3 linked regions of the Lonchura striata genome follow. The protein of the gene in region 1 interacts with the protein of each later gene in a pairwise test. Links are inferred from orthologs where the notes say so. Each region holds a gene or a part of one and is shown in the gene's direction. Other genes may lie near its edges.

The links. The genes of interacting proteins can lie anywhere in the genome.
Region 2: the proteins of GOLGA2 (region 1) and CEP57L1 interact in binary tests that used the Homo sapiens proteins (3 or more experiments, as listed by UniProt). The two-hybrid records come from large-scale screens. The link is inferred for Lonchura striata from reciprocal best matches to the Homo sapiens genes GOLGA2 and CEP57L1.
Region 3: the proteins of GOLGA2 (region 1) and RBM17 interact in binary tests that used the Homo sapiens proteins (3 or more experiments, as listed by UniProt). The two-hybrid records come from large-scale screens. The link is inferred for Lonchura striata from reciprocal best matches to the Homo sapiens genes GOLGA2 and RBM17.

What each region holds. Positions count from the first base shown.
Region 1 is NC_134624.1:593,151-600,708, reverse strand, and holds the start of GOLGA2 (golgin subfamily A member 2), read left to right. Parts: upstream 1-4,505; 5' UTR 4,506-4,564; coding exon 4,565-4,612; intron 4,613-5,753; coding exon 5,754-5,876; intron 5,877-6,193; coding exon 6,194-6,274; intron 6,275-7,558. Other genes in the region: DNA repair protein SWI5 homolog, read right to left, coding at 1,403-1,467, 1,725-1,819, 2,766-3,052. UniProt on the Homo sapiens protein: Peripheral membrane component of the cis-Golgi stack that acts as a membrane skeleton that maintains the structure of the Golgi apparatus, and as a vesicle thether that facilitates vesicle fusion to the Golgi membrane.
Region 2 is NC_134605.1:69,473,686-69,480,769, reverse strand, and holds the start of CEP57L1 (centrosomal protein CEP57L1), read left to right. Parts: upstream 1-4,006; 5' UTR 4,007-4,076; intron 4,077-7,084. Other genes in the region: SESN1 (sestrin-1), read right to left, coding at 3,140-3,379. UniProt on the Homo sapiens protein: Centrosomal protein which may be required for microtubule attachment to centrosomes.
Region 3 is NC_134607.1:69,612,584-69,620,091, reverse strand, and holds the start of RBM17 (splicing factor 45), read left to right. Parts: upstream 1-4,430; 5' UTR 4,431-4,500; intron 4,501-5,644; 5' UTR 5,645-5,662; coding exon 5,663-5,785; intron 5,786-6,882; coding exon 6,883-6,999; intron 7,000-7,508. UniProt on the Homo sapiens protein: Splice factor that binds to the single-stranded 3'AG at the exon/intron border and promotes its utilization in the second catalytic step. Involved in the regulation of alternative splicing and the utilization of cryptic splice sites.

The sequences.
Region 1 (7,558 bases):
CCAAACGCTGAGCTAGTCCTTGTACACAGACAGGAAATACCAGCCAAAACAGCAACTTTAGTAACAGAGTTTGCATTTCCTAGTTCTTGCCACCTTGTGCCTTTTTTCCTCCCCTTAAAACTACTCCAAAACACATGAGTGTTCCACACTTGGCAGAGGGGTATGTGTTGGGGAGGGGTGTGAACGTGTCCTCTGAGTATCCACTCTGGTCTGGGCACAGGAAATATTCTGCACAGCTGCACATCAACAGAAACTTACTTAGATGAATCATGGAATATACAGGCTCTTTCCGTCCCCCTGCTTGAGGCCACTCCCCACAGATTTTAAGGCAAAACAAGACACTATTAGTGATGTATCTGTGCCACATCCAGAGCCAGGAGTGTAAAACCAATTATCTGTTCTCAGCAGCAGCCTTGTGACTGGTTTCAGGCTTCCAATCACAATGAAGATAGATTAATTTGATTCAAATTTGGAAGGAACAAGCAGACTGCAGCATGGGCCTAACTGGAGACCACAGGGGAAACTTACTGGCTGGAAGGTCTTTGTAAGTAAAAATGGGCAGAAGGACATCAAGTCTGAGTGAAAAAGGGACAATAGATCTGCAGTCAGCAGAGCACTTCATCACTTCCAAGTGCCCAAAGCAGCCAAATTTAGTCTGTGCAGTCACCCTCAGCCCTATCAGTGACATTGAAACACTCGTGCTCCCAACATCATCATGCAATGTCCAGCACAGCACTCACTCCCACCATGACTCTGCAGTTAGAGCAAAGTGATTCTGCACCTGCACATTCCTGGAGAAAACATTTGAATAGTTCATGTCTCAATATAGTTTTAGAATTTTTTCCCAGGTTCATGCACTGTTTTATAGGCTCTTAAAGTGATTTACTGACAAATGTGAAGGCTGCTTTATTCAGAGTGAACAGTCAACACAACTTTACATTTTGCCATTTACTACAGAAATGATACAAAACCTCCAGATACCAGAGCAGGTAAGTACAAAAATGCAGAACACCCAGACTTCTCTGGATTTGTTGATAAAACAAAAGAAACCCCCAAACCACCACAATTTCTGCCTTCTTCCCTCCTTTCTTCTGAGGGTTTTACTTTCAAAGCAGCTATTACATTGCACATTTGTATGCCCTCACTTCCTCTATCCATTCAGTAAACAAACAGCCCCTGGATACTGTAGGGAATCAAAGGGTCCATGGAAGAGGCTCAACATCAACCTGAACTACAACCTTAAAAAAAAAACCTGTTGATCAAGTAGTACATGAAATTATCTAAAATCCTACATCCCTTTTCCAAAGGTTCCTTTCTGTCTCTCCTAAACCAGGATGACACCAATGTGTAATGGCACAGTGACAGTCACTTTTGCATGACATGGCAGCTTCCAGGTTCAGGACTAGTCACTGAGTTCCAGGTCATACTCAGGATAGAGCTGTTTTGTAGTGACCCCTCGGATAACAGCTAGGAAATAAAAAAACAGCATTGCTTTCATTAAACAAAGATCATGGGAGTCAGAAACGTGGTGTTTTCTTTCCCTAATTATCCCATAGCACATCCTATAGCCAAGAAACCCAAGGTTTTGCAGCTATGCCTCCTGCATACCCAAACACTTTTTTAAAAGTGAAGAATTGTAACACAAGCTTTGCTTCCATAGTAGCAGCTTCTTTCTGTATGAAAACACTGACTAAAAAGGTCTTGAACAGCTTTCCCTTTCTTACCTAGCTTGCCCAGGAGCATTTGCCCAGCATCTTTGATTTCATTGTATTCATGGAGCAGAGAGATGTGCTTGTCCAGTTCCTCCAGGCTGTAGCCCCTGTAAAATAACACCAGGAAGGTCAGAAATGACACAGGGGGACTGGGATTTCCTGCTGCTGTGGGGGACACCAAGCCTGGAACCTCAAAAGCAGACTCAACACAACAGAGTGCAGTTCCTGCAAGTCCTAAACATGAAGATCTACACAAGCTCAAGAAAGCCAATGCACCCAAGTTCTCAGAATCAAGTAGAAACAAGAGTAGGCTGTGGTGAATTCCTTTGATACGTATCTCTAATCTGTATATAGGGAAAAAATTAAGAATCGTAGAATCATTTAGGATGGAAAAGACCCTCAAGAGCATCAAGTCCAACCTTTGGCTAAGCACCACCATACTGACTAAACCAGAACACTTCGTGCCATATCCAGTCATCTCTTGAATACCTCCAGGGATTGTGACTCCATCACCTCCCTGCCAGCCCAGCCCAATGTTTAATCACCCTTTCAGCAAAGAAATTCCTCCTGATGTCCAACCTGGAGTTCCCCTGGCATAGCCTGAGGCCATTTCCTCTTGTTCTGTTGCTAGGTTTGTTTACCCTTGAGGATAAATAAAAAAGAGTTCTGGAACAGCCTTTGTTGTTCTACCATTTCCATCCTATGCACCACATTTACCTTAGAAAATATAAGTCTAACACAACAAATAACAAGTGGCTAAAATTATCTGTTCCCAGTAAACACATAATTACCTCAGGAACACCCAGGCTAAAACAAAAATCCTCTTATGCAAGCTCCCAGTAAAACTTGTTTTGCTTTACCACACAAAGTGGAAAGAATTCCCTCTTGTCTCTAACAAGTCCCATCACTTACAACACTGTAACCAACATTGCACCATACCAACAACAGCATCACAGAAGGTCAGCTCTCAGCTCCAATTCCTGGATCACATTCTATTTTAAAAACAAAAATAATTAAGGCATCAAGTAAACACTGAGCTTGCCAAGGACGTACTCTGACAATAATTGTGCAATTTCCTGGTCTAGAGCAAGGTTTTTCTGTTTCAGCTCTTTGATTTCACACTGCAGGGCTTCTTCGCTGGCTCCATTAAGCTGGAAGGACTTTGGAGATGGGATCTGTAGAACACAGAAGACACGTAGCAGGAACTCAGCTCTGGGTAAGATGTTACAATGCTGCAGCACTAATGTGAAAATAGCGTACATGTCACTTGATAAAACAGGAGAAAAGGAAAAAAATATCCCCAGGGTGGGCGGGGAGGGGGGTTCAAATAAAATGTGCATTAGTGTACATAACACTAGTGTGCTCCATACCACATCTAACCACACTTTCGAGAGCTACACTGTAAAGTGAAAATAAATAATTCAAATAAAATATATTAAAAAAATATTAAAACAAAAGAATTAAAATCACAATGTGCCTTTTAGGAGAAACTCCCAGCACGACACAGTGCAAACTGCAGTGCTGGCGCTAACCCGGGGAACCCTCAAGGGAAAGCCCTCCCCACCGGGCAGGGCCGAGCCCCGCCAACGAGGGGACTCGTTCCCCGGGGCAGCCCGCGCAGGACTCACCGGTGCCCTGAATCCGGCCGTGCCGCCCCGCCGGCCGCCGGCCCTGGCAAAGCAGAGGGCGCCGCGTCAGGGGCCGGTACCGGCACCCGCCGCGGCGGGGACGCGGCCCGGGAGGGGGGGCAGCGGGGAACGGCTCCTACCTCCTGGGAAGGGCCCGCGGCGGCGGGCGGCGGGGCGGGCTGCGGCCCGCGGCCGGCGGGACCCGCTCGGCCAGGGCTGAGGGCTCCCGCTGCAGGCTCGGAGCTCCCGCCACACCGGAGAGGGGGAGTCCCCTCGCCACAGAGAACGCCGGGAGTTGTAGTCCCCCCGCCACAGAGAACGCCGGGAGTTGTAGTCCCCTCGCCACAGAGAACGCCGGGAGTTGTAGTCCCCTCGCCACAGAGAACGCCGGGAGTTGTAGTCCCCTGCCGGGCCCGACCGTGGTGGGGCTGCAGGTGACATTGGGTGTGGCAGGACACAATTGTCCCCCGAGGGCCGCAGGCGAGGTGGTGACATTTGGTCCTTCAGAGACATCTCAGCACCGTGCCTCAGCTGGGACGGGGGCTCAGGAGATTTCGAGAATCATTGAATCAATCTGGTTCGAAAAGACCTCGAGTTCGAAAAATCACTCATGTGATGGAACACCATCATGCCAACCAGACACGGCCCTGGGTGCCATGTCCAGTGTTTGCCCGTAGCCACCGCTGCGATGTTGTTTTCGCAAGGTGAGCACTGCCCACTCCCCCGCTTGTCCCTGTGTCCCACCGGGCCCCTCAGCTCCCCCCGAGTCCCGCACAGAGGCTCGGACAGCGCTGGAGGCCCCGTCCTGCCGCAGGGAGCGTGTCCCTGTCAGCGCCGTGTCCCAGAGCCGGAGCTGCCCGAGCCTCAGCTGCTGCCGCGCTTGGAAGGTCAAAGGATTTGGGATCACACAGAACGACCCTGCCGCCTGCCCTGCGCGCGGGATCAGCCTCGGACACCAAGGGCGGGACAGCGAGGGGAGCCGGGCTGCCCCTCCCGGCATTTGCGCTGGGCTGCCGGGTCGCTACAGCAGCGGGGCAGAGCCCGGTGTCACACGGGGAGCGCGGTGTCCCGCGGTGTCCCGCGGTGTCCCGGGGCCGGGCTGTCCCGGCGGGGCCGGGCTGCCCCGCGTGTCACCCCGGGGTGTCCCGGGGCGGAGCGGGGCCGGCCGGGGGCGGAGCCGCCGCCGCTGCTGGCGGGCTGACGTGGCCGGGGCGCGGGGCGGACATGGCGGACGGCAGCAGGCAGAGCCGGTTGGCCGCGGCCAAGAAGAAGGTGAGGGGCCGGCGGTCCGGGCGGGACGGGGCACGACGTGACGGAGCGGGGGCGGCTGCGCTCCGCGGGCCCCGCGCGGGCCGGGCCGGGCCGAGCCGAGCGCGGCCTCCCCGCGGGCCGGGCCGGGCCGCCCCCTCGCTTCGGGCCCGGGAGGCTGCGGCTCTCCGGGGCTGCGGCCCGGCCTTCTCGGCGGGCGGCCGGGGCGAGGCCGGGCCTGGGTGGCTGCGGTGCTGCCAGGGTTCCCCGGGCTGCTGTGCGGGTGTCGTTGTCCCCCCCGCCTTCCTTTTTCCCCGTATTTTTTCCCTCGGGGCGGCCCGGCTGCCTGCGTCCCGGCGGGATGCGCTTCTGTGTCAAAGTCACGGAAACGGGAAAGTGTCCTGGAGCAGTTCAGGCTTCCATTTTGAAATCCTACCAATAATGGGATCCTCCTCCGTCCTTCTCCGTGCCCCGCTGCCCCGCCGTGCCTGCCCGGGGTGTGCGGGCCGGGGGTGCCGTTGTTTGCATAAACAGCTGCCGGCTCTGGGGCTCGGGCGTGCAGGAATTGCACAGAAATGCCGGCAGACCTGGAGGGATTCGAGTTACATCTTATCAGACCGGCACTTCCTGGGCGAAGTGGATGCGATTAAAAATCATTTGTAGATTGTTTCTCCCCTTAGCTTGCAGTTGTTGCAGTGTCTGCTGTGGGGATTGCAACTGTCCTTCATAAAATCTTCCGTGGAGTGGAAAATACTACTATCAGGCAGTGCTTTCTCACTTTGCATGTAGGATTAATTGCCCTTTATTACTTTTGCCTCATTGCTCTTACTTATAACCTTGAAATCCCGCAAACCAGTGCTTTCAATCTCCTTTTAGTTGTACTGTAGAGTGTGAAACAATTTCCCAGGAACAGCATTGGCTGTAAACAAAAGTTGAATGTTTACAACTCTTGTCATAAACCCATCACTTTGGTCTTAACTTTAGCCTTCTCTGGGCTTATTTTGATTCCCGTTTTTATCCCATATCGATAAATTAATGGAAGAGCATTCCCCTTGTCCTTACACTTGATCTGTATTTTTACCAGTGAAGTTAGTTTTGAGGGGTCTTTGAGGTTATAGAAGGCATATATTGTTTGGACTTCAGATTTGTCTTCTTCTGTTCACAGCTGAAGGAATATCAGCAGAAGAACAGCCCTGGAGCCACTGCAGGAACTAAGAAAAAACGCAAAACTAAAGAAGGCAGCAGACCTGCCACTCCCACCACTGATGACCAGCAGCCTCCAGAGAATGTGAGTGTCTCTTTCTGCGAAATCATTTGCCACCTCCCTCTTCTTCAGTTTTCTGGACAGTCTGACCGGAGCTGGAAGTGGTTGTGCTGGGGTAAGAGCTGAGTGGTGTAGGTGCTGTATGAGGTGCCTGCTCTGGAAGGTGCAGCTGGCATTGGAGGCTGTCCAGTGGTGCCCTGGGTGTGCCCGGAGCTGCTGGGCTGAGGCGTGTGGTTCCCACGAGCTGGATGAGGATGGTTCCTTGGCTGCCTTGGATTGATGTTTTCTCTCTGTCCTTCTCTGAGCCATTTCTCTTTCCCCTTTTCTTTCGCTTCCTGTAGATTCAGAACATTCTGAAGGTGCTGGTGTCAGACCTTAACCGCTCCAATGGGGTAGCCATACCCTCATTGGACAAGAGGAAGGTGAGGCAGTGCTTGTGTCCCTCGCAGTGACTCGCTCTCCCTCCTGCATGTCTGGGTTCTGTTCACACTGAGCTCCATCTCCCAGGATGGAGCCTTGTCCTCACATATCCATTGTCAGTTGCTTCAGTTTTGTTGCTGTTTTTATTAACATGGAGCTCTTTCTTACCATTGCTTGTTAAGTGCTTGTTTCCTTCTGGTTAGTGTCAAAGTTAACACGTCAAAAAGTGAGCCTTGTCAAAAAGTCTTTCTTGAGACAGCTGAGCTTGGAGGAAAACAGGAATTTGGGGTGAGGCAATAAACTAATTTGTAACAGCTGAGGAAGACTGCAGTAGGAAGAGGTAGTGATTCCTTATTCTGTATTTCTTCTGCTCTTAGTGTCATTGCTTTGTTTTCTGGAGCTTGGTTTCTGAAGGGCATGTTTCTGCTCATCTCCAGGCAAACAGCTGCACTGGCTGGTTATTCCAGCCACCCATTTTATGACAGGCGATGAAGCTGGCACAGGTGATGTACAGTCTGGCAAGTAGCAGGGGTGTAAATATGCTTAGGCAGGAAGTCAGATACTTCAAAGCCAGGCATGTACAGGCTTCAGCCTCTTCACATTCCCAAGATCCTGAAGAGGAAAGGGCAGGAAGTATGCCAAGGAGCAAGAGAAAGGTGCATACGTGAACAGCATTTTAAAACCACTTACTTTCAGACAGTTAGTTTGTTTAAAATAAGGCCCAAACTGTGATAAAACTCAGAGAAGTCAAATTTTGTAGCTGAGAATATTCTTCCAGTTTTGTTGTACCAAAGCTCTGCTTTTCATTTTCACTTGCATCGTTTTGGTAGCTCATTTCCCTGCCATTATTTCAATGTAGTTGTCATAAAGTAGTTAATTGTTATATTAAATGCATATCCATGGGTATCCAGCAATAAATATAACTATAGTAATCACATGGAGTACCTGACAGATAAAGTGAAACCTGCAAGGTGGAATGGAATTCCCTCTGAATTGCCTTTGTATCCTTTTTCCCTTTTTTTTCCTTTTGTGTGATAGTATGTCTGACACACAGAGTGCCACCAGCGGGACTGTGTTGTGTAGGTTCTGTAGCAGCAGAATTCGAGTGATGTGAAGACACACTGCCAGCTTTGGGGTGCTGGGTGTGCCTCAGAAAACTTGTGTTGTGGCTGAAGTGTCACTGTTGTCCTGGAGACTGTTTTCAGTTAGTACTTGTCAGCTCAGAGTAAGTTAAATTTTGGGAAAAGAGACTTGTTTCCCATTGGAGGGTGAAATGAAGATAGGTG
Region 2 (7,084 bases), on another chromosome or scaffold:
CCCTTACAAAAAAAGTCATTTATTCTAAATGGGAAAACACATGTATTCTCTCAGGTAAAAAAAGTATATGTTATTATTCATATATAGACATATAGCCTACAATGAGAAAACTCATTATCCCAAACATAATTCAAATCAACAGGAATTTATAATTAATTCTATAGATTGTAATACAAGCAATATTATTTATTAATAATATCATTATTAATGCTATTTATTAATAGCAAATAAGAAAGCTGCACACTTAGCATTCCACCATATATCACAGGAATTTTTATCCGGGGGAAAAAACCCCAAAACATAACAAAGGCAGACTTAGAGGGATGCCATGCTGACACAGGCTGCTGCCAAGCCTGCAGCCTACACCAGCCATATAATGCACTCTACCAACCTGCTCCAGACACAAAGCTGCAAAACCACCAGGAGCACCAGTCACTCATGCCTAAATATTTGCTGACGGCCCCAACAGGCAAGAGGGCACTAACTCAAAGGAAGAAATAGCAATCAGACCACAGGGAAAAATCTAATATTTGATTTCATCACTGATTTATGCTGGAAGCAAATCTGAAAGATAAATAAAGTACATTTTGCAGTTCTCCATATTGAGGCAGCTGGGGTGGGCAGGAATAAAAAGAAATATATGAGTACAGTCTCAGAGTTCTAGTCTAGGATGGACCATTCCAGAAGAGAGAGAATGAGGGGAGCCCCAGTTCACAGGAGAACTTCTGGGTTTGAAGTTGCCCCTCCTGCCCTAGGCTCTATATCATTTAATAACTTTAGACAGCATAATTGTACATATTGGTGTGGACTTCAGATTCCAAAACAGGGAGATAACGTAACACAAGTGTTGATGCTATTCTGAATGGGATTGCACATTTTTATGTTACTAACCTTTGGAAGCACTGCTGAAAGTTCTGTGTGGTGATAATATTTAATTTAATAGTTTGCTCTATCTGCCATCTTCACTGCAGGGATTTGAACAATATTATTCTTGGTCATTAATCAACCGAAAACCATTTCATGCCTGACAATAGTCCTTAGCACCCAAAACAGAACACTTGCACTGGATTATTTCTCCAACAAATGTGGATCCAAAGATTACAATGAAAATTTTCACTTATGAGTACAGACACAAGAACTAAGATTTGCCACTCTTAAATTCATGAAATACAGAATACTCCTCTCAGATCTATGCTTCTGAAAAGGAAAATTTACAAAAGCAGCTTTTAAAAATTTTCTTAAAATAATATTCTATTTTATTTTATTTTGCTTAACTTGCTGGAAAACTTTTACTGCACCTTGTGTGTATACAATTGGTTTCACAGCTATTAAACCTTTCAAACCTATGGTTTATTAATCAAAGCAGCAAGGATCACGGCATTTGAACTTGCATTTGCTGTATGAAGATGGACATTTTCTGCCAGAACTTTTTGCCCTAGTTATAAAAAAAAAAAACTAGTCACAAAGTTTCTAAACCACACTAATAGTTGAACATGCCACTAACTTCAAATGCATAAAAACTTAAAAGGGAGTCATCCAGTCCTGTATTCTGACCTCACCCCAAAATTTAGGCGAGAGATCACCATCTGTTTGTTTTTGGAATAGATTCTGATATCTTGAACCTGACAAAAACAAGTCTTCCCTTAGCAGTCTGTTGCAGTAACTCATCATTCTCACTGGTAACAGACTCACTTCTCATATGAACAGTTAACAGGGAAAATGCCAGATTAAAGTTTTCAACTCAGTATTCAAGTTTGGGGTGGTTGTTTGTTTCACTGGCTTTGGTTTTTAAAGAAAAGCTGTCAAGCTTTCCACTTAGACCACATGAAACCATCAGCTTTGAGAAAAACTGCACACACAGCCTAAACTGGGTAAAATAAGTTACACTGTATTAATCACACTGCACAGTACTGAGAAGTTAGACAAAATAAACAGAGACTCTTTCAGCTCCAATAACTCAAACCCAGAATGTGTTTCTATATATATGATAACATATAATGGGTTTTATATTATACATATTTATGCATATAATGTATAAATTATTATACCTATAGTACTTTCATATATTGTTATTATGTTTCCCTGGATTCCCCTATATTCAACCTGTTAAAGTTCAGGCAGAAAAAGCACAGTAGTGACAATCAGGCAGCTATCTCCATGCACAGCTCTCTATTCATTTGTGATTAAAAGAAATAGCTGAATTTCCTTTTCCTATTCTTCAGTTAAAAGTAATATCTTTAGCCAGTGCTGTTGGACCCGTTGATACAAGAACTCCAAGACCTGAGCAAAAACCAGAGGTGAGCAAGACAATCGCAATGCAAGTAACTATAATTAGACTGTAAGAGTGGAAGAGTACAAAGTAACATTTATTTTTGTTAGCATTAGGTCAGTAAATGTATTCCTCTATTGGCTAGGCTGCATATGAGCTATGAAAAAAAAATAATTTGGATCATATTGATGCCAGTGGAGAAACTATTTACCAATAAACAACAAGAAGGGCATTCTGATGGGCTCTGCCTTAACAACAAGCTCATATGGCTTTTAAAAGCTCCAAAACTTCCCATTTATATTTTCAATTGGCAACACTAATATCAGTACCCAAATCCTTCCTGCTTTTCGTTTAAAGTTAACCGGGTAATACCACAGCACTTATACAGACTGAAACTAGAGTGTTAAAGTTGTCATTTTAGTGCTTCCTTGGGGATGCCCCAACTTTCCAGCCATTCATTGCCAAGTCCTCTCTGGTGGATTCCACTGAAAGACTTCGTGCTTTTTCACAGAATAGTTAGGGTTGGAAGGGACCTCTGGAGATCATCCAGTCCAACCTCACTGCCAAGGCAGGGTCACCTAGAGCAGGTGACACAGGAACGCATCCAAGTGTTTTTCAAGTGTCTTCAGTAAGATATTCCACCCCCTCCCCCCGCCGCCTTTCAACAACGCTTTTCCAAATGTTTCTCTGGGGAGAGAGCCGTAGGGGTGGGGAGCACTTAGCAAGTATTAATTGCAGGAATAAACCTGACAGGGTGGATCAGCCGCCCCCCTCGTCGCACAGGTGTAACCCGAAGGCGCCCTGCGCGGGACGGGGCCGGGAGAGCCCCCGCCCGGTCCCAAAGCCGAAGGGGTGGTCAGCCGCGCTCACCTGCACCCCGCCGAGGATCGCCTCGCTCTTCTCCCTCACGTCGGGGAAGGGGCACCTCTTGGACAGCATGAGCAGGCGGGCCAGCGCCTCGCCCAGCCCGTCGCGGGCGGCCGCCCCGGAGGCGATGCTCTCTGCGCGGCGGAGCACGGCTTGCCCGATGGTGTCCAGGGCGGCACCGCGGGCGGCGGCGTCCCGGCTGCACAGCCCGTCCCAGCGCACCTCGCCCTCCCGCTCCTCCATGGGGCCGCTCGGCCGCTGCTCCCCCGCCGCAGCCGCCGCCTCCTCCCGCTCAGCAGCCCCGGCGCGGCCGCCCCATGGCGGGCTCCCGGCAGCCGCCAGCCCGCCCACACAGACGACGACGAGCGCGGCCGCGGCGAGCGCAGAGCCCGCTGCCCGCGCCGCATGGGGGGCAGCGCGGGCCGGTGCCCCCGACAGCCGCCGCCGCCCTCCCGCGCCGGGGCTGCCGAGCCAGCGGAGCCGCTGGGGCTTCGCCTTTCCCGACCGGGAGAGGGGCGGCCACCACCCCACGGCGCCGGCGGCTCCTCCTCCCTGCCCCGGGCATGGAGGGAAGGGGCGGCCCCAGCCCTGCCTCTCTCGGGGCGGCCCCTCAGCCCGCCCCGCCGGGGCCGCCACCGACCCCCGGCAGTCCCCTCGCTCGGGGTTGGGGGAGAGAGCCCCGCCCAGCACGGGGAACCCGCATGACGGACACGCCGCTCAGCCAATCGCCTTTCAGCGTCGCGGCCGGGGGGCCCAATTGCGGCGGGGAGCGGCCGTTCCAGGGGGCTGCTGGGATATGTAGTCCGGCCAAAGGGCCGTCCTGTGGCCCTCGCGCGGGAAGACCACGTGTCCCGGCAGGCAGCGCGGCGCGCGGCCGGGATCCCGCCGGAGGTGGCTCGCTCGCTGGGATGCACGCACGGTATTCCCGCCGTCCTGTTTGGTGCGGGCCTGGGGGGTTCTGCGGTCTATCGCAGCAGGCTATGGAGCGCCGATGGCTGGCGGCAGCCGGGGGTGAAGCAGTCCTGGGATGTGTCCTAAGCGAGCGCGTCAGCGGGAGCGGAAGGACCGTCGGTGCTAGCGAAACGCATCCCGTCACACTTGGGATGGAGGAGAGATGGGAGGGGCGGGGAAATCCCCGTAATATTCACATTGAGCCACAGTTCAGCGGTGTTTTTATCCAGATTAATCCCAGGGGATTTTTTTAAATCCCAGTTGTGCAGGATCTGATGAACCTGGAGAAGAGAAGGCTCGGGGGGAATCTTGGCCGCGCATATATCCGGACATTTATTTGTGCCTAGAAGGAAGGTGCAGTGAGGATGGAGCCAGGATGTTCTCGGTGGTGCTCAGTGCCGGTATCAGAGGCGAAGGACTCAAACTGAAACACAGGAGCTTCCCTCTGAACATCAGGAAGCACGTTTTTTACTGTGGGGGTGACCAAGCGCTGGCACGGGTTGCCCAGGGAGGTTGTGGACTTGCTATCCTTGGGGATGCTCAAAAGCTGCCTGGACACGGGGCAACCTGGGTAGCTGTCTCCGGGTGGTCCTGCTTGAGGAGGGGGGGGTTTGGACCAGAGGATCTCCAGAAGTCCCTGCCAAACTCAGCCGTTCTGTGATTAAGTGTAATTTGCCACTAAAGAGGCTGGTATTGCTGCTTGCCTTGCTTTTCCTGCAGAGGCAAAAAAAAAAGAAAAAAGCTGCTGTTGATAAATTTATATTTTCAGCTAAGTCAGTTCCTTGATCCAGTTCACCTCTTGGCAGTGAAGAGGAGAAGAAAACAAGTGCAGAACTGTTTGCAGCTGTCACATTGAAGCACTAAAATTTTGAGTGTACAGAAAGGCAAAAGAATACTTGGGAGTAAATTAGAAACAGGACATTGGGCCTACATAGGGGCTTGCATAATTATTTTTAACTTCTCATGTACACATTTCCCACTCTAAAATTCGGATGTCAAAACTGAAGTTAAATGCAGAATGAGATTCTCTTATGCCACAGAAAGACACAGAAACCACTTCTGAGTCTAGGAACAGAGCCTGGGCAGGTTCACCAACACCATTCATCTTCAGCTTTCTTCTTTGTACAGAATCTGATTTCTTTATCCGCCATCACTTTTTCTTCTGGAACAGTTTCTTTAAAACGTGCATTTACCTGTACCTTTGAAGGAAGACTGGTCTTTTTTTTTCCCATAAAATCCTTTCTGCAAGGAGGCTGCATTGCCATTGTTCAGGAGGGTGGACAGGCCTGGACTGCTTCATGCAGCTGCTTCCTCCAGGCCTTTGGCACCCTCGTGAACAATGCATCTGCTGAAATCAGCACTACCTGTAATAAATATGAGTCTTGACTTCTCTAAGCACTTGAGGCCTCCACCCACCATAACTGATGGGTTCAAAGAAAATCGTTCTTCCAGTGCTTTTTATGTTGTTGAAGGGATTTTTTTTGTTTGTTTCTTCTGTTTTTTACATTAGCTACCAGTTCAGCTTCCCATCCCATTCTGTTGTCACTCATTATGGTCTCCCATTTTCCCATGAATGGGCATGTCACATCTGTTTGCTTTATTTCTATCTATATTTTGATCTCCAGAAGTTGGCTAGATCTTATTTTTCCCATCATGAGTTGTTGGGTGCCTCTGACAATGACAACATACATCCAAGATCAGAAGAGTGAACCAGATTCAGAGCTGGAGCTTTGGTGTTTTAGACTTTGGTACAGCTGTATTCACACACTGAATGCCAAGATTGATTGAAAGTCACAGCACTGCCTTTTATCTTTTAGAAGCTGTTTTTTCCACTGGCTCCAAATGAACTCTGGCTACAGGAAACAGATTGTGAAACTGGCTCCAAGGCCTAAACTTCAGATTTCAGCCCTTTGTTTTATAGATTTTAATGTAGACTTAGGGAATAGCAATGAGGATGGCTTTATTTTTTTTCCAAACCAAATCTCTGCAGTTTTCTGATACCAGGTCAGGCTTCTTTATGCACTGCAAGACATTGTGGAAATCAAGGTCAGAGGCTACCAGTGGAATTAATCAGAGCCCAAAGTTAGGGCAATGTGTTTGTTTGATTTGTGTGTTCACTGACTGCAGTTAATATGCTTGTTTTTGATCCCTAAAGAACGGATAAGAGAGAGGCAGAATTATGAAGGAAACAATCTGGCAACTCATCCAGAATTGCAGCAGTTGAGTTTTCAAAATGATAAGCTGAAGAAAAACAAATTTGTGGCTGTTTTAAATCTCAGTATTTCCTTCCTTCATGATTTATCAACTTCCTTTTTTTTTTTTTTTAAACTAGATAAGGACTTCTATAGCCTTCTTTAGACTTCTATAGCAGATGACATCCAACAGCAGAATTATTTTTGAAAATACAATGTCTAGTAATAGTATTCATGTTCTTTCTAAGATACAAGATCTAAAATACATTATATTTAGTTTTAAAAGTTCATTCCAGTTTCTGTATGTCACAAAAGAGCACTTTTCTCAAGCATGCATTTAGTCAAATACTGGAGAACTAATAATAACACAGTAAAACTTGTGCAGTCTAGAAGGAACTGCTTTTTAAATTAAATTCCTTCAACTGTTTTCCTTTACACTTGATTTTCTTAAGGCTTACTTCATTCCAATTGCTAAATACCTAAATAATTGGATGAGTCTTCAAAAAGTTCACCCACCCTTTTTAGATCTGTGTTTTGGCATGTTGCCACAATAAATGGTACTCCAGATTTAAATGCATTTTCCTTCACAACTACCCTCTGAGAAAACAAAGTTCTGTGACTCCTGTTTTGCAAAGAGACACCAAAAGGCCGGAGGCTGCTCCTCTACTGCCTTTGAACCCAAGCACCAAGTTTGGTGTCAAGTCCAAGCCATTTTGTCTAGGAGATGTGGCCTTTTTTTGCTTCTGAGTATGTGTTTGTACATCTAATCTGTTTTGCCCTATTATGTGTTGCAGGTGTACATTTG
Region 3 (7,508 bases), on another chromosome or scaffold:
GTGGGAGCTGCTCTGTTGTCCCCATCCTCAGAGGTTCTGAAGGGTGGTTTCTCACAGCCACCCCAGAAAACTCCAGTTAGGTTGCCATGCACTGCCCTCTAATGCCATTTCGGCATATTAGCACCCCTCACCCTCAGAGGAGATCTGCAACATAAAACAAATCATCCACATCCACCAAAAACTGCTATCAATGCTTTAGGGAAATGAGACATAAATGAGACATTTAATGGCTGCTTTTTCCCCATCCCAGCACTGCTTTATTTTACACATTCTTAAAGATCACCATCAGGGAGAAAAATGAGAACTCCCTATTTACCTTTTCTGGGCCATTTTGGGTGCTTGATGCTTCCAAGGTCCCCTTCAGCTGCCTGTTTTCACCCAGCACATCTGATTTCTTTATTTTTTACTGCACTGCTGCTTCTTGGAGAGGATGAGATACCCAGGAGTGCAGGTGGCCACTCAAACGTTCATGTGCGTGTTGGATTTATGAGGATACGTTCTCCTTTTTTAAGATTTTAATGCTTCCCAGCAGCCTGTTTGCTTTCCTGCTTCCTTCCTTCACTAAATAGGCATTTCAGGAAAATGGTCCACAATGAATGCAGCATCTCTTTCCTTAATGGAAGCAGCTGATTTAGAGCTGCTGCTGTGTGTGTTTTGTTAGTGCTATTTTGTCTTGTGTGCATTGCTTTGCATTCATTAACAGTGGGCCCCATCTGCTATCTCATCACTGAGCCAGTGCCACGCTATCCTTCTGCAACTTCTTGCTTACAGCTTTTGGCTGATTACTCTGAAAAAAATTGGGATTTGCAGCAGATTTCACCACCTTGGCTGTACACCTTTTCCAGGTGGGCTGTTGGTACAATGAGCAGTTCCAACCAAGGCTGGTGGCTCTTCTCACAGTGGGAAAATCAGTTTATTCACAGCTTTTTGGATCTCCCTATAATTCCTCTCCTCTCCTCTCCTCTCCTCTCCTCTCCTCTCCTCTCCTCTCCTCTCCTCTCCTCTCCTCTCCTCTCCTCTCCTCTCCTCTCCTCTCCTCTCCTCTCCTCTCCTCTCCTCTCCTCTCCTCTCTCCTCTCCTAGTTCAGGAGACCCAGCTGCATCAAACTCATCTCAAAACAATGAGAAAATTGTGAAGCTGGGAGAAAAGGGCTACAAGAAAACATAAAGACAGAGCGACATGAGATTAGAAAGGCAGGTAGAACTGGTGACTCAGCAATCACAAGTGAGATTCAAGAAGAAAAGCACCAGCATAGAAAGGTTTGAAATACGAATGGGAAAATAAAGTAGCTGGAAGATCACGCTTCAACATTTATGAGGGTCTGTAGGAGGCAGAGAGCTGGCCAGTGCTCCCCCACCTTTGCAGATGAAAAGGAGATTTCAGCCACAATTAACCCACCTGCAAGATCTGCAATGCTGGGGATGAGCTCACATATTTCTCCTCCATTTCCAGTCTGTCTGGGACCTTGGCAGCAGGGTGAGGTTTCTTTATCTCCCCAAATTTAATGAGAAGGATTTTCTTGGCTCTTCTGCTTCTAAGTGGGCGTGTACAAATACACTGTGGCTATTATCACAGTGATGGATCAGTTTTGATCCATGCCTACTGCAGTTTCCAGGCTTAACCAAGAGCTGCTTCTCTCCTTGTGAGTTATCTGATTTATGGCTTTAATAGGTAGTTATTTACAGGTCTGATAATTCAGCCTTTACCCTCCCTGTTATGACTTGTTCTGAGGAGGAACCAAAATCTCCCGTTGCTCTCGTGTTTTCCACCTCTGCAGACTCTAATCTCCTTTGAGTTTCTCCCAGTGTCTGTCATGCTGTGATATTGCTCTGACATCTCAATCCACAGGGATTTTTTTCTGTACCTTTTGATGCAATTAATTATTTGATTCCTTCCTTTAACATAGGATACATGGTTCTTTTCTCAGTGGGACTCTTAGGCTGTAAAAGTAGTCCCTTGCTGATTTTATTTTTCTTCCACAAGGTTACAGATGTGTGAATTATATCAATCCTTCCTTTAAAAAATGCAGGCATTGCTAACGCAAAAACCTCAGGAAGATGCTTGGGAGATCCTCTATAAATAAAGTGAAGACAATTTCTTTTTATATTTAAGGAACTTTCACTGTCATGATGAAAATAGACATATATGTAAATGTATTTAGAAGTACTGCGTTAATAGAAAGCAGCATAAGTAGGAGAGGAAGTAGTAGCTTTATTTTATTTATTTTTTCAGCTAACCACAGGGAAATAAACTGCACAGTAGCACAGTCAGAAGCAATGCTGGAGATAAAGACTTTCTGATTAATACAGAGATAGTGCTTGTAATATTTTGAGGTTGAGGTGCCAGGTCTATTTGCTTCAGGGCTGGCGTTTGGCTTTGCAGACAGTCTTGCATGTTCATTTGCTCATCATGTGGTGCAAGTGGCCATAATTCTTAGAAAACTCAGCTCATCTATTTCACATGCTTGGTATGAGCTGGAGACACACCAGTGCAGCGTAAGTAAAAAAGAAAATCCTTTTTTGCCTCTGTCAAAGAGAAGATATTAAATAATTAGTGCAGGATATTGGGCTGGGAAATTGGTATGGTTGGGTAAATTCCAGGTTCAGACAGATGCAGAATTTTAAGGTTTTTAGAAAACAAAGATTGTTTTGGCAGACCAAACAAGTCCACTTCAGGCCCAAATGACATAATGCAGCAAGACCTTCTAATAGCCAAATATTTTGCAATATTTGCAATTACCCAGTGACCTCAGTGACAGTGATGGCACAGCAAAATGACAGCAAACATGCTGGAATAACAGACAGAATTGTTTGAAATTGATGAAGAATAAGTCCTCTGTTCTCGTAACTTTCTCAGTGCTGCCAGAGTCTTCATGAAGAATTTCATGTAATTGTCTCCATTTTCCTGCCCAAAATCTCAGATGCCCTTGGTAGGTAACTAGAAATACTGAACAGCCATGGAGACTGGTTACTCACTGTATAAACTACCACAGATTACTTAAGGAGTTAGAAACACGGTATGGAAAATTGTAACAGAACATCCAGAGCAAACAGTGTTGGGGGTAAATCCAGCCCCTTGGGATGTGCCGTGCCACCCTCCCACTGATTTATTAAAAAAATATGGATATTGATCTAGTACCAATATCCAGCTGTGATGGACAAAAACTCTCAAACAGCTTAAAGTTAGAAAGTGTGTGTTTATTCTACACTGGGATAGCTCCCAAATCCACACCGCAGCTTCCAAGTGATTACAGAGTCTTTTTATCCATACAAGTATTGAATACCCAAAATAAAAATCCATATTCATCATTTTGGTATATCCTATTCCTCTTTTCATATGCTAATCACTCCAAAAGCTGTTAAGCATGCGTGGTTTGTTCCTTGAAATGGGTCGGTGTCCCTTCCATGGGGAGGGGTCCCAAAATGAGGAAGTAAATGAAGTTTTTTCCTCCTTCTGACCTTTCTATCTTTTCAATGCAAATATGACAAATGAACTCTTGGTAGAACTCGCATTCCTTGCCTTCAATTGGTTTCAGAACAGAGGAGCCCCACAATAGTCTTATGTTCCTAAAAGCTATTTTCAGTTTCTATATTCTTCATTATAAACCCAGCTAACTAAACATTGTGCTGACAAACAATCAATTATTAGTTAACTACTAACTCCTAATCAAGGCCTACTCATTTATTTTAATTAACTCTAGTAAGGCTTATCTCTGTGAAAAACGCATATTTATGATTGGCTTTTTCAAATATTACAATAAATATTATATGTGTAATGTTAGGAAGTTATGCTGTATTAATTCTCTTCAGTAGTGTGCAAAATATAGTTTTAGGTTCCAACATAATGTTAAAATAGAGACTATGTACGTGGGGGAAGGTTTTTTAGGAATGAGATACTCGCTTCAAGGAGCACCTAAATCTTCCAAAGGAGAGGAATTTATGGCTTCTTATCAGAAGAAACTAATTTATTCAGGCCTTGCACAGATTTGAAGACACCATGCGGATTAAAGGAACAGTTGATATACAAGAGAGTTCTTGTTTTAAATAGAATGTATGCATAACCATGAAGGATGTATGAATATGCAACAAGTGTATAGGTTTAATGTTATTCCTTTATTCACAAGGGATGCTTTTTGTGATTTAGTGTCCAAGAGTGTCCGAGTGCTTTTTATTGCCTTGTAATTGCCCTAACTCTAAACTTTATTACTCTAATTGCATGATTATTTTTATAACCATTTTATCAGCATTAAACTTTTTAACATTTTAAAACCCAGGTGATTGGCAAGTTTTTCACACCTCTGACTAAAACCTTCGCTGCTCTAAAATCTCGAAATCCCCTCACGTTTCCGTCCCGCCGGCCGAGGGGCGCTGCCGCTCCCTCCTCCCGCCGCCGGGGGGCGCCGGCGCGGCGGCGGCGCGGGGCGCAGTGCGCAGGCGCGGCCCTTCCCGGCGGGCTCAGCGCCGGCTGATGGCGGCGGCGGCGGCGGCGGCGCCGGGACGGGTGAGGGCGGCTCCGGGCCCGGCCGTGTGGGGAGGCGGCTCTGAGCCCTGCTGGGTGTGGGCAGGCAGGGGAAGGCAGGGTAGGGCGGGTGTGCCACGCTCAGCGGCTTCCCAGGGGGCTCCCGGCCTGTGCGGAGTGTGTGTGTGTGGGGGGGGGGTGTCAGGGCCTGCTTCGCCCCCGCTGTTCCCAGATCGCTGCCCACCTTTCCTTTTACTGTGGGGACAGCTCCTGTGACTCGCTGCCTCGTCCCTTCCCCGCGGTGACAGCGCCAGCCCTGCGTCCAGCCAGCTGTCCAGGGTCTGAGCAGGAATGGCTGGGGGGGCTCAGCCTGGAGAAAAGGAGGCTCAGGGGGGAATTTCTCGCTCTCCACAACTCCCTGATAGGGGGGACAGCCGGGTGGGGGTCGGGCTTTGCTCGCACGTAACAAGCGGCAGGACAATAGGAAATGGCATCAAGCTGCGCCAGGCGGGGTTCAGGCTGGATATTAGGAAGAATTTCTTGTCAGAAAAGGTACTTAAGTGTTGGAATAAACTGCCCAGGGAGGTGCTGAAGTCCCCATCCCTGGAGGTGTCCAAGGGAAAAATAGATGCGGCACTGAGTGCTCTGGTCTGGGTGACAAGCTGATCTTCAGTCACAGGTTGGATGATTTCAGAGATTTTTTTTTCCACATTGACTGATTCTGTGATTCCCCAGAATCATGCTGTCTCCTCACTCCCCAGCTGCCAAAATCCCACTGCTCTGTGGCAGGTGGAAATTGCTACAACACCCTGTCCTCATCCTGTGCATCTGTGCCTTTATAACCCCTGCTGTGTTTCATCCCGAGGCCAGATGTTTAATAGTCTTCAAAACCTCCTTTTTCTTTTTGCAGTAAACTTCTTGCTGTTGAGCCCTAATTGTTCATATTCCACTGCAGGATTGAATTAATTCTTGAACAGTTTTCATCACTTTTCAAATTGTTACTTTTGTACAGCATTGCTCTAGTTATGTGTATTTACTACTCACCAGAAAGAAGTGCATTTTCTCTGGCTTTAGGAAAAGTGAAATAAAAGGTGGTGTACCCATGTATGAAACTGTTAGCAAATAACCTGGAATTTGGCTTGTAGTGTCATCTAGAGTTTTTTTTTTCTTTTATTTTGTCTTTCAGTTTTAAATTGAAGAGAAAATGTCACTTTACGATGACTTGGGGGTTGAGACCAGCGATTCTAAAACAGAAGGCTGGTCCAAGAATTTCAAACTGCTGCAGTCGCAGTTGCAGGTGAAGAAAGCAGCTCTCACACAAGCAAAGGTATAGTCCCTTTGTGATTTTTCTTTCTGTTTTTCGTGTTCAGTGCATTGTGTTTGTGACCTCAGAATTTGCTGACATTTGTCTGTGAGTTTGTAGCAGAGAGCCTGACAAAGCTGAAGGGGAAAAAGGAAAAACGTGTATTTCTTGATGTCTCTTAGAGGGGGTGTTGCAAAATTAAAACTGAAGGAAGCACTGATGTATGTGCTGCAAACCTCTGAACTTTTAACAGCAGAGCCAAAAGCTGATCTTCAAGTTTAGCTTTAAAGATAATGAGATTCAGCTTTATAAAAATTTTTTTAATGTAAGTAGGGGTCACACTGTGATTATTTACATGTTTACATCATTTTATGGTTGTTATTGAAAAGCATCTTGGTGCTAACCTGCAAATCATTATGTATTAGAAATTTTACACCAAGTATTTCCAGAGTAGGTGAAAAGGAGGAGTGCAAGCTGATTTTTGTTAGACTGTGACAGAGCCATTTTCTCTTTTTATTGCTTCTTCTTTTCATTTCACCCTTATTCTTTCAGCAGTGTTGATATTTTGATTCAGGCAGGACACAGGTGCTCTTTGAGGCACTGTAGGTTCTGTAGTGAGGTTACTTAATTAAAGGAAGAAGCAGTAGCACTGATGCCAGATACTTGAGTAGCCACAGCATTTTTTTCACTGTAATTACTCGTTATTTATGCTGCAGAAATTGGAAGCAGGATTTAGTTGATAATGGGAACAAACTTCATGGAAGAAATTTACTGACTGCTGTATTAGTTATATTCTTTTTCCATGTACCCGATGTGCAGTGTATCCATAGCCTAACAGAAGAATAAGATAGGATTAGAAAACTCAGTTCAGAAGAGTTTAAAATATTTTATCTGATGATAGATGGGAAGAACAGTAGATCTTTGGAATAAATCTGAGTTTCTTAGAAACTAACTCAGTTCAAACTCACCTGAAGTGATTGGATGAATTTTCCATGTGTGTTTCTGGTCCCAGTGAAAACTTAGGACCATCCACCTGCCACAGCAAAGTCTATCAAGTAAGCCAATTTTTAGAAAACTGCTTTATCTTTTTTAGACATTGTGTGTTTTGTTGATTTTTGCAGAGTCAGAGGACAAAACAAACCACAGTTCTTGCTCCAGTGATTGACCTGAAACGAGGCAGCTCCTCTGATGAGAGACAGATTGTGGACACACCCCCTCATGTAGCAGCTGGGCTAAAGGTAAGACCAGGACAGCTAAAATTTCCAAATGTTTTGGAAGTTGAATGCTTCCTAGTGGTCAAAAAACTGATTATTTTCTGAGAATATCTTCCTCTGCTGAGAGTTCTTTAATTAACATTTCAACATCATTCAGACTTACATGTGCTACAGCATGGAATCACCATAGTTAATGTGCAGTTACAAAACAGTGTTCTTAAAATCCTGGACATCTTCAAATTATTTGGCAAGACAGCAATTTGGGCAGCTAAATAATGACTATAATTGTGTTGGCACCAGTGTTGGAACTGGAAGTGTATAACAATCAACTGAAAAATAAAACAACTAAAGCCTCTAACCTTTTAAATTGATTTCTCATGGTAAGAAATCAAGATAAACTCTCTGCAGCTTTTTCAGAGGAAAAGTTCTGAATGGTTCTTTTAGATTAGAGGAGAACAGTCTGTGTGCTGTGTGCCTCTGTTGGTATTATATTAATAGCAGCTGATAAAAAGCCTGATAAGATTGTGTGGGAG